Linked DNA regions of Caenorhabditis elegans. The protein of the gene in region 1 interacts with the protein of each later gene in a pairwise test. Each region holds a gene or a part of one and is shown in the gene's direction. Other genes may lie near its edges.

The links. The genes of interacting proteins can lie anywhere in the genome.
Region 2: the proteins of gldi-4 (region 1) and mrt-2 interact in a two-hybrid assay, tested with the Caenorhabditis elegans proteins (2 studies listed by BioGRID).

The regions. Positions count from the first base shown.
Region 1 is NC_003282.8:7,016,073-7,020,744, forward strand, and holds gldi-4 (ZZ-type domain-containing protein), read left to right. Parts: upstream 1-1,553; 5' UTR 1,554-1,592; coding exon 1,593-1,794; intron 1,795-2,402; coding exon 2,403-2,626; intron 2,627-2,677; coding exon 2,678-3,748; 3' UTR 3,749-3,762; intron 3,763-3,808; 3' UTR 3,809-4,138; downstream 4,139-4,672.
Region 2 is NC_003281.10:11,745,150-11,750,699, forward strand, and holds mrt-2 (Cell cycle checkpoint protein RAD1 homolog mrt-2), read left to right. Parts: upstream 1-1,616; 5' UTR 1,617-1,813; intron 1,814-1,894; 5' UTR 1,895-1,899; coding exon 1,900-1,998; intron 1,999-2,069; coding exon 2,070-2,225; intron 2,226-2,284; coding exon 2,285-2,425; intron 2,426-2,473; coding exon 2,474-2,554; intron 2,555-3,736; coding exon 3,737-3,826; intron 3,827-3,972; coding exon 3,973-4,092; intron 4,093-4,710; coding exon 4,711-4,827; 3' UTR 4,828-5,026; downstream 5,027-5,550. UniProt on the Caenorhabditis elegans protein: May be a component of the 9-1-1 cell-cycle checkpoint response complex that plays a major role in DNA repair. Promotes DNA double strand break-induced cell cycle arrest and apoptosis, thereby playing a role in genome stability.

The DNA.
Region 1 (4,672 bases):
TCTCTTTTTTAAAATATGAATTCAAAAAAAAAAACAAATAAACCTAAAATCTCAATGTCATTTTATTTCATCACCTACTCTCTTCAAAATTGGACCGTCGGTGGTCGCTAGTAGAGGCAGCTTTGTGACGACCTTTGGCTAAACTCCATCGTGAGCGCCTCTGGTCTGATGCGCCTCCAAAACGTCCACCACCCCTGATGATTTGTTTATTATAGTTTGCATTGTATTTTCGAATCTTCAGGGTTGTTTGTTCTTGACAATTGCCAATTTTTCTAAGCGAAAAGTTTGATTTAATTTTATTCTACTTGGCAATTTTCAAAAACGAACAATTATTCTCTTATCCAGTGTTTAAGTATGTCCTCTCACTTTTTTTTCAATTTCAATCCCGTACTTCTTCCCTATTTTTGGGTAAATCCAAGCCTTTTTCACTCTCTCTCTTAAATGCAATATTGTTTGGTCATTTTACCTTTTATTGTATGTGTTGTAAAAATAAATTGTATTTTACACCGAAAAATGTCCAATTCAGTGATATCATTATGCATGCACATCTTCCGCGTACGACAGCTTTTCCGCGTGATTTTCTGTGTTTTCTCTGTTTCTAGGCGCTCTCCAAATTTACTTTATATTTTTCCAAAATTCTATCTCGTTTTTGAATACACATATGTAAAACCGAAATAGAATGAAAAATTGGGAGACGGAGAGAGGAAACGAAAACAGAGAGAGAAAGAGACGGAGAGGAGAAAAGGCAAATGAAGGTTGCAATCTGTTTTTACACTTTATATTTAGTCTTTGTTCATTTCGAAATTAAACGCAGGCAGGCGCAGGCGGCCGATTGGAATTTCACGTCAATCCTTCCAAACTAGGTGCTTTTGGTAAATCCTGATTTTCTCTGTGCACAGAAGTTAAATTGTTGTTTATAAACTTCATTTTCTACCAAAAATTAACAAATCTGTAAATATTTGCCCCTATAACGATAATTTTAACAGAGATCGCGGCGAGACCCTCTCAAAAAACAGCGTGTGCCTTTGAACTGTCGCCGAAAAATTATTGTAAATTGTGATTCGTCATTTTGCAAGATGAGTCACTTTGAATAAAATCGTTTCAGCAAAAATGGGGGAATTTTTTACGGGAGAAAAAAAGTCCACAGATTCTCCAGTTATGGTTCATTTCTAATAATAATAGCCCAAACTTAATACCTCATAATCCAATTGACCCTTGTACCCCCGGACAAGTGGGCACACGCTTATCGATTTCTATTTCGAGGTACCACTCATTTCCGCGCGGGGAACACTTTTGTCTCTGAGTCTCCTACTTCTCCTTGCTCTTTTCCCAAACGTTCTTGGCAGAAGAACCTCTATGCATATATATCTTCAATGTTTATAATGCCATTTTCTGTTAGGTTTATAAATATCTTACTCGCAACCTCTCTCTAAAAAACAGGCAAAGAAATTATGCGAAATAGAAATTGCACACTGTTTCAAAATATGTATTAATGTTTCCTTAATTTTTCTCTCATATTGAACTATTTCTAGAACTTCGATAAATAATTCCAGAAACTTGGTATAACTTGATAACTTCCAATTGTCATCCCAATGATACCTTTGTGCCGTGAACATAACAAAACATGCCGTGTCAAGGTTAACTATCATTGGCGTGTATACAATGAGGATATCAACAAGAATGCTGTATTGGAACTCTCATGTCAATGTCAAGTCCTCGATCAACTCAGAAAAACGTTCGTCGAGTTGGGATCTTCCACCATCCATTCGGCTGCTGATTTTGAGTTTAGCTGCAGTAAGTTTTTTTTTAAATGAAATTTAGATGCACAGTGCCTGCGCGAATTTCATTGGTTATTTTAGGTTTTCCAGATACTATTCGAGTTGTTCAAAATAGTATAACACAATAATCAATATGTCCAACAAAATTTGATCAACTGAAAAATTATAATTATGAAAAATTGAATTTTATCTACGCTTCCGTTTTTCTATGAAAAGAAGTTACATCGGCTGACAAGATTTTTGAAGCATTTGGATGTGATTTGACCTGTCTAAAAATTGAGTTTTTGATGTTTCAAAACTATTGTTGTTGCACACACAGTTGACAAAAAACAAAGTAGAACAATAGAGGTTATAGGGAAAATATATCGTTTTATCAAATTTAATCTGAACCCAACCGCAGGTTGCTGTAACTTTTTCCAAAGAATTTATGATAATTTGTTTGATAACATAATTTTAGAAATCGTTAAGAGCAAAATTTTGTTAGTTGAAAATTTTCAAATCTAAATGAGCTAGTATTTGAGTTGTGCTCACTTTAAATAGAAACTACAAAAAAAGAAATACGAATAGAGTTTCAGCTGGCACTATATAAAATGTCAGTCATCTTATACCAGATATGATTTTCAGTTACCAAGGATGGCCCTGTAGTTCTGTCCAGTGGCTATGAGATCTACAACAACATTCGCCCGGAATTGAGCTTTTATCATTCTCAACTTCCTCAGCTATTTCTTCATGTCAGAATCTTGGATGTCTCGGTAATTGCCAAGTTGGATGATTTGGGTCGGACTGTGAATGAATGTAAGGCAACGATGAAATCTGACAAGGCATGGAGAGTTATGAAGGATACTGAGGTATTATTTTTCTGATTCGTTTCCCTTGTTTCTAAAAGAAAACTATATTAGATTGCTGAAGGACAACTCTCACTTCAAGAGCTTCTAGACAAGCAACAACTGGAAATCAAATCTCTTCAAAAGGATATTTCCGAAATGAAGCTTGAGAATCAGTGTCGCAAAAAAGAAGACAAAAACTCCTTCAAAAACAAGGAAGTTCACGAGGCTTCATGTGATAAGTGCCAAGATTTGATTATTGGGCATCGATTCAAGTGTGCTATATGCTACAACTACGATTTGTGCGAAACATGTGAAGCTGCCGGAGTTCATGCTCAGCATGCATTGATTCGATTGGTGTCAGAAAATACTTTGTTCCCCGAACATTTGATTGTCAAAAACCCAGAGGAGGTAAAAGATCAAAACGGTCAAGTTCAAGCAATTGCTTCTTCTCGTGACAGAGCTATCCAGGTTCCTTTGAGGAGATTGGGCATAACCCCTCAAGCCATCGCAACAAAGAACAATGTCTCGAGATATTTGAATGCACAAAGTGATCGAAACATTATTGAGGACCCATGGTATGCTCAGCACATGTCTAGCAGGAAACCGCAAACTTATGAAAGAATGCATCCAAAACTGAAAGATACAACTGATGGTAAAAAAGTTCAAAAAGTTTCTTTCCGCGATCGCTTTTACAAGAAAGCAGAATCTAGCCTCGATAAACACGAAAAGCAACTTCGATTCGATCTTTCGGCTTCACGTCAAGAATTCATCAGAGAAAAGGAAAAGTTCAGAGTTGAAAAGGAAACGCTCATGAAACAAAAGGAACAAATTGAAGAGATGATGAAGCAAGAAACTATAAACTTCGAAACGAATAGGGCTTTCTTTTCGGATCGTTTTGAACCGATTTTTAATAAAGTCAAAGATGGAAAGAAAAGCGAAGATGATACTACAAGAAAAGTCGAATTTGAAGTTGAAACTGCTGAGAGCAACTATCCCGGATCTATTTTTTCGGATGAAGATTCTTTGAGTGATCTTGCTGAAATTCTCAAAGACATTGAAGAATATGAGTGTTCGTCTGAGAGCTCTGATGACCAAGAGAAAGACGATTTTGATGTCGTTGAGGAAGAGGCTAAACAATCTTAAACGTATTGTTGAATGTGAGTTATCATCCCTTGGTTCAAAGATATTTATCAACAATTTCAGATAACAAAAACAGAGGATTCAACTTCCATCTTGTACTCTCAACCAGCACTGTAATTCCAATTCAAAAGGACTTTCCAAACGATAATATGCATTTCAATATTCTCATGAATCCTCCAAATATTTAAAAAATTGTTCAAATTGTTCATAACAACTTTCTTATCAAATCAGAAAACTCAGACTGTTTTGCAGAATTGCAAAAATTCAAATATCTAAATTTTTCCATTGTACTGTCTTATCTTTATTTTTTTATTTTTTCTGAAGTCTAAAATTGTAATTTTCCAATTTTGTGAATCTTTTCATTTCGCATTAATAAAATAAATTGAAAATCAGAATTTAGCTTGCCAATATACATAAGAATAGTGAGACAGGGGAGGATAAAAAATTAAAAAAAAAAAAGAATCTTTAATTGTAAAGTCTGTAAACTTTATGAATTCATTTTTAGATTCAAAATTAAAAAATCAGATCTTAAAAAAATGTAAATGTCAAACAAACCTTCTAAAACGACATACGTTTCTACTATTATCCAGAAGATTAATTTCGCGAGTTTCGTCCCAAAAGTACGGTACCGGGTCTCGACACGACAAAAATCGATGAAAATTCTGCTGCAATGAATTTTTGAAGTTACTGTATAAAAGGCGCACATCCGTTTTTCTGGGAGTTTTGTTTGACATCTAGATACTTTTTAGATTTGATTTTAATAGTCGTTTCAAAAAATATCCAGTGCAATGTATCTAAAAGGATTGTTTTTGCAATAGATCCTCGGTTGAACTTTTGTTTTAAAACGAATTGTTCCAGACACACCTTGTTGACTTGAAAATATTTGTCCTTTTTTTTCAAAATAAACTTTGTACTTCTTTTCGTGTC
Region 2 (5,550 bases), on another chromosome or scaffold:
TTTTATAGACCAATTTTCTCGCTTTATAGCTGAGCTCCGCGAGCCAAAATAGGAAGGGGAGCACGAAAAAAAAACAGAAAAATGAGCTCGACAGAGCCCATAGCCTCAAGCGCTAACGAACCAAAAAATGCACACACACACAGGAGGCGGAGTCGTGGAAATTTCGAAAAAAAAAACAAGATTTTCTTCTCTCTCGGCTCAAATTTGAATGCGGAGCAAGAATATTACGGGAACAAAAAATTCTGAGAATGCGTACTGCACAACATATTTGACGCGCAAAATATCTCGTTGCGAAAAGCAAACTACAGTGATTCTTTAAATGACATTTGTAGTGTCGATTTACGGGATCTCGATTTTCGAAATGAATTCATTTATCATTGATCGAGCCCGTAAATCGACACACGCACTACAGTAGTAATTTAAAGGGTTACTGTAGTTTTGTTTTCGCTACGAGATATTTTGTGCGTCAAATATGTTGCCCAATACGCATTCTCAGGATTTTTTGTTAGCGTAATAAAATAACAGAAAACACAGAAAAAGGCATGAAATTTAATTTGAAATACCGCGCTGAGTTTTCTAGGCCACGTGTCGTGTACTCCCCGTGGACAAGCGGTTTTTGCCTTATTTTTCTGAAGTACAAATTCTCAAGTACAAGTAAAAAAGTACAAATTTTACCAAATTTGAGGAAAAGAACTAGCATGACAAAAATAGAATTAGAAAAATTCTAGAGAAAAACTACGGATTTCTGGCTTCCCTCATAAAATGAAATGGAAGAGTTTGCCGAACTAGGCCATTTTGGCTCAGCCATATCTGGAGTAGATTTACGGCGCGTTCCGTGTCGCGGCTCGATTTTAGTTGTAAAACTAAATGAATTTGTCCGTGTGGAGTACACGACTTTACCACGCGTTGTCCGGCAGGCGATTGTCAATGGAGCGCGAAAAATTCAATGCACCAGATTTGACGCGCAAAATTTGAATTTTCAAGTTGTAAATCCCTTTTTTCTTCCCATTGTCCCATCAAATATCCTTCTTCAAAAAAACCCCTGCGTCTCTCAGGCCATATCTGCGGTAGATTTACGGCGCGTTGCGTGTCGCGTCGCGGCTCGATTTTAGTTGTCTGGCGGGCGATTATCAATGAAGCGCGAATAAATCAATGAGGAAGGCCAGAACCCCGTGAAGATCCAAGAAAAGTTTTCTAGGCCACGTTCCGTGTACTCCACGTGGAAAATGTCCTTTCCGGCAGGAGATTGTCAATGGAGCGCGAAAAATTCAATGCACCAGATTTGACCACGCGTCGTGTACTCCACGTGGAAAATGTGGACACTAGGGATCTACTAAATGCCTGGAAAATCGTAAAAATCTCGAAACTTCCTAAAGAAAAAAAAAGCAAATACACAAAAACGCATTGATGTATGAACAAATTGCCCTCCCCGTCTCCCACCAAAAACTCCCAAAAATTGCTCTTTTTTCATGTTTATATGGGGGACCGCGGGATTTCATAATAGCTCCGTGGTCCGCTCAGCTCATCCGGAGCCAAAAAGAGCACACACACACACGCACACATAAAAGTTGTAAACTAGTTTCGAGCAAAAATGATACGACGGATGAGTGTGTCACGCAATCAGTGAGCTTCTCTCGCTTTCGAAAGAAAAATCTTTTTCGCAAAAAGAAAAAGTACTTTACACTGGCCACAGTGTAAAATAAGGGTGAAAAGATCGAAAATCGGAGGTTTCAAATTTGAATTTCCGCGCAAATGAGAGGGACGAGGTGCGATGGCCTACAAAACTCCGCAGGTGTACTCCTCTCGGAAAACGGTGCGAGAATTAATTTTTTAATTTATATTTAATTTTCAGCGATTTTTCTCAGTTTTCCGGTTAAAATTTAAATTTTTTCAGGAAAAATGATGGAATTAGAAACGGGTCAATGCACAATTATGGAATTGAAAAAAGAAAATGTGAAGGAGCTCGCGCAGGTCTTCAAAACCGTCGCTTTTAAGGATGTTAGTGTTGGAAAATATCGATATTAATTTCATTTTTTTTGAGAAAAAATCTAAATTTTTCAATTTTCCAGACAGGAACGTGGCACGCTTCCGAGGCGGGCATGAAGATCACAGTCGACGATGGATCCTATCAGCTGGCCAGCGTTTTTATCAATCCGGCGTTCTTCTCGAGTTTTAAAGTTCGCGAGGAGATAGTTTCGATGAAAATCTCGATTAAATCGATTTCTGTGAGCCTTTAAAAGCCCATAAAAGCCCAAAAAAGTGGCAAAAAACAAAAAAATTCCAGGAATTCCTGAGCATTTCGGAAAACTCGTCGAGTTCTGTAAAAGTCTCGTATCCGGGAATGTTTCAGCCTGTGAAAATGCTTGTTGAAGACGCAGACGGATGGGTGGCACGTGGCAATTTTACAACAACGCTGGCAGATCAAGTTCGCCGGGTTTTCGAAATTCCTAGATTTTTTTTTGTCTATTTTTAGGAGCTCGACTTTGAATTCGATGACGCTGGTGTGCTGGCGACCTATCTGCTTAAAACTCAAGTTCTCAAGGAGATTATCAAGGTTTTATCATTGAAACCTTTAAACATTCGAAAAAAATTTATTAAACTCCAGACATTTTCCAAAAAAAATTTTTTTTTTTGGATTTTCGAAAAAAATGTTTTTTTTTTGAAATTAAATAAAAAACTTTTTTTTTTACTTTTTTAGTGAAAAAACAAAAAAAATCGGTTTCCCTTCAGAAAAATCGGTGTTTTTCGGTTTTTTTCATATTTTAAAACATTTTCTGAATTTTTTTTTTGACTTTTTGGAAAAAAATTTTTTTTTGGATTTTTTCAAAATGAAATAAAAAACTACTCGAATGTCGCAAAAACAAAAAAATTTCTTTTTGTTCTGACAGATTAACATTTTTTGGTTTTTTTCGACTCCAAAAAAAAATTTCTGAAAAAATTAGCTTTTTTGAAAAAAAAACCATTTTTTTTTAAATTTTTTAGTCGAAAAACGAAAAAAAAAATCGGTTTCCCTTCAGAAAATTATTGTTTTTGGGTTTTTTCCCACATTTTAAAACATTTTCTGAAAAAAAACTTTTTTTCGACTTTTTTGAAAAAAAATTTTTCGGTTTTTCCGATTTTCTAATTTTTCAACAAAAAAAGACGAAAAAAACCAGAAAATTCCGAATTTTAGAGCCAAAAACGAACATTTTCCGTTTTTCAATTTTGAAAAAAAAAACGTTTTATTTTTATTTTTCGATACTTTTTTGTCGAAAAACGAAAAAAAATGTTTTCCGTTCAGAAAAATCGGTGTTTTTTGGTCTGTTTTTCATATTTTAAAACATTTTCTGAAAAAAATTTTTTTTTCGAATTTTTCATTACTTTTCAAAAAAAAAATCCGTTTTTGATTGAAAAAACCTTGATATTTTTCCGATTTTCTAATTTTTCAAAATTAAAAAAAACCAAAAAAAAAATCCGAAAATTCCGACTTTTTGAGCTAAAAACGAAAATTTTCCGTTTTCAATTTTGGAAAAAAAATTTTACTTGAAAATTCGATTTTCGCTTAAAAAGTAGTTTTTATTGTTTCAATTTTTCGAAAATAAAAAAAAATCGATTAAATTGCAGAATTTCCAACCCAAACCCAAAAAAATCGACGTCCAATACTTATGATTTGACGCGCAAATTCTAAAATTCAAATAAAAATTCTTATTTTTGCATTAAAAAAATACGAATTTTTAATTTTTTTTCTCTATTTCAGGACTTCGATGACACAAGCCGAACGGTGAGAATTCAATTCACCAAGAATTCACTGTGTTTCACGACTTTCGGTGATGTTGGCGAGACTACAGTAGGATTTTTCAAATTGAAAATTAAATAAATTTTAGGAAATTAAAAAGAAAAAAATTTTAATTTTTTAACTCAAAAAAAAAAAAAAAAAATTGTTTTGAAAAAATATTTTTTAAAAAATTAAAACCAAATTTTTTATACTTTCAGGTATCAATACCGTCTCGAAGCCTTCAAATGGAAAGTGTAAAGTGCCTTGAAGAAGTTGAATTTAGCTATCTTCTGTCGCTTATTCAACGAATGACTACCGCCTTTATACTGGCTACAAAGGTAGTTTCTGGAAAGAAATTTAGCCTATCTGCTAGATTTTTCCTAGTTAAAGTTATCATGGTTCCAGGAAAAATTCATTAAAAATATGAAAAAATTGGGGGAAAAAAAAAATTTTTTTCGAAATTTTTTGAAAAAAATCTGAAAAAATTTGTGAAAATTATTTTCACTATAATTTTTAATTTAAAAAATTGAGCCGATTTTTTTAGAAAAATAAATTTATTTGTGAAAAAATTAATTTTCCTTTCGAAAAATATTTCGATTTTTGAAAATTTTTTTAAATTTGAAAAAAAAAATTTTCATTTTTTTTTCAAAAACAGAAAAAAATTTCGAAAAAAATAAATAAAATGTCTAAAGCATTTTTAACGATTTTTCCAATTTTGCAACAAAAAATATCAACATTTTTCCGTTTTTTTCCCCGAAAAAAAACCCCAAAAACTCCAAAATTGGCCAAAAAAATCGAAAAATAAATTAAAACGTTATGCTCCAAATCAAATTTTAGTTTCAAAAATCGAGAAAAAATTAGAAAAAATGTTTTTCTTCGAAATTTTTTTTTCAATTTTCTAAAAAAAAATGTCTCGAATTTTTTGATGCAAACTTTACAATTTAAGTTTTTTCCAGCTCATCCTCCGTGTCGACGAGCGTGGCGTCCTCTCCTGTCAATTTTCAATCGATCACGGCGAGGGAAACGCAAGCTACATTGAATTTCTGACGGTGCCCGCTGATGAAGAAGAATAAAATATTATATACATTTTTAATTTTTTTTTAATGTTCGATCCCCGAGTTTTGCAACAAGTGTACCCTCATCTCCCGGGTATAAAAACCCGAAAAACTGCACCGAAACGCACGCAAAAAAAATTAATATTTTCTTCTTTTTCGTGCTTCTTGCAATTCTCGCTGTTGATTTAAATTTTCAAATAAATATTGATTTTTATTACGAATATTGCATTTTGAAATGAGAAAAATTTTTAAAAATTGGGTTTTTTTTCAGTGAGTGTCTCGTCGAATAAAATGCTCGGTACGTAGTACACCGTCACGTCAAAATACACAGAATCGTGGATTTTTTTCAAAAAAAAAACAAGGATTTCTGGCTTCCCTCATAAATTGAAATGGAAGAGTTTTTGCCGAACTAAGCCATTTTGGCTCAGCCATATCTGGGGTAGATTTACGGCGCGTTGCGTGTCGCGTCGCGGCTCGATAGTAAAACTAAATGTATTTATCCGTGTGGAGTACACGACACTTTCCCATGCGTTGCCCGTCGGGCGATTGTCAATGGAGCGCAAAAAATGCAATGAGGAAGGCCAGAACCCCCTGAAAAATCGATGTGTTTTTAGGATTTCTTCAAATTCTAATTAATTTTTAGAGTTTTTTGCCGGCAATATTATGTGGAAAATGAATGCAAAACTTCTTGTAGCCCTAAAAATCCCCAAGTTTGTGTATTTTTAAAGAAAATTAAAGTCT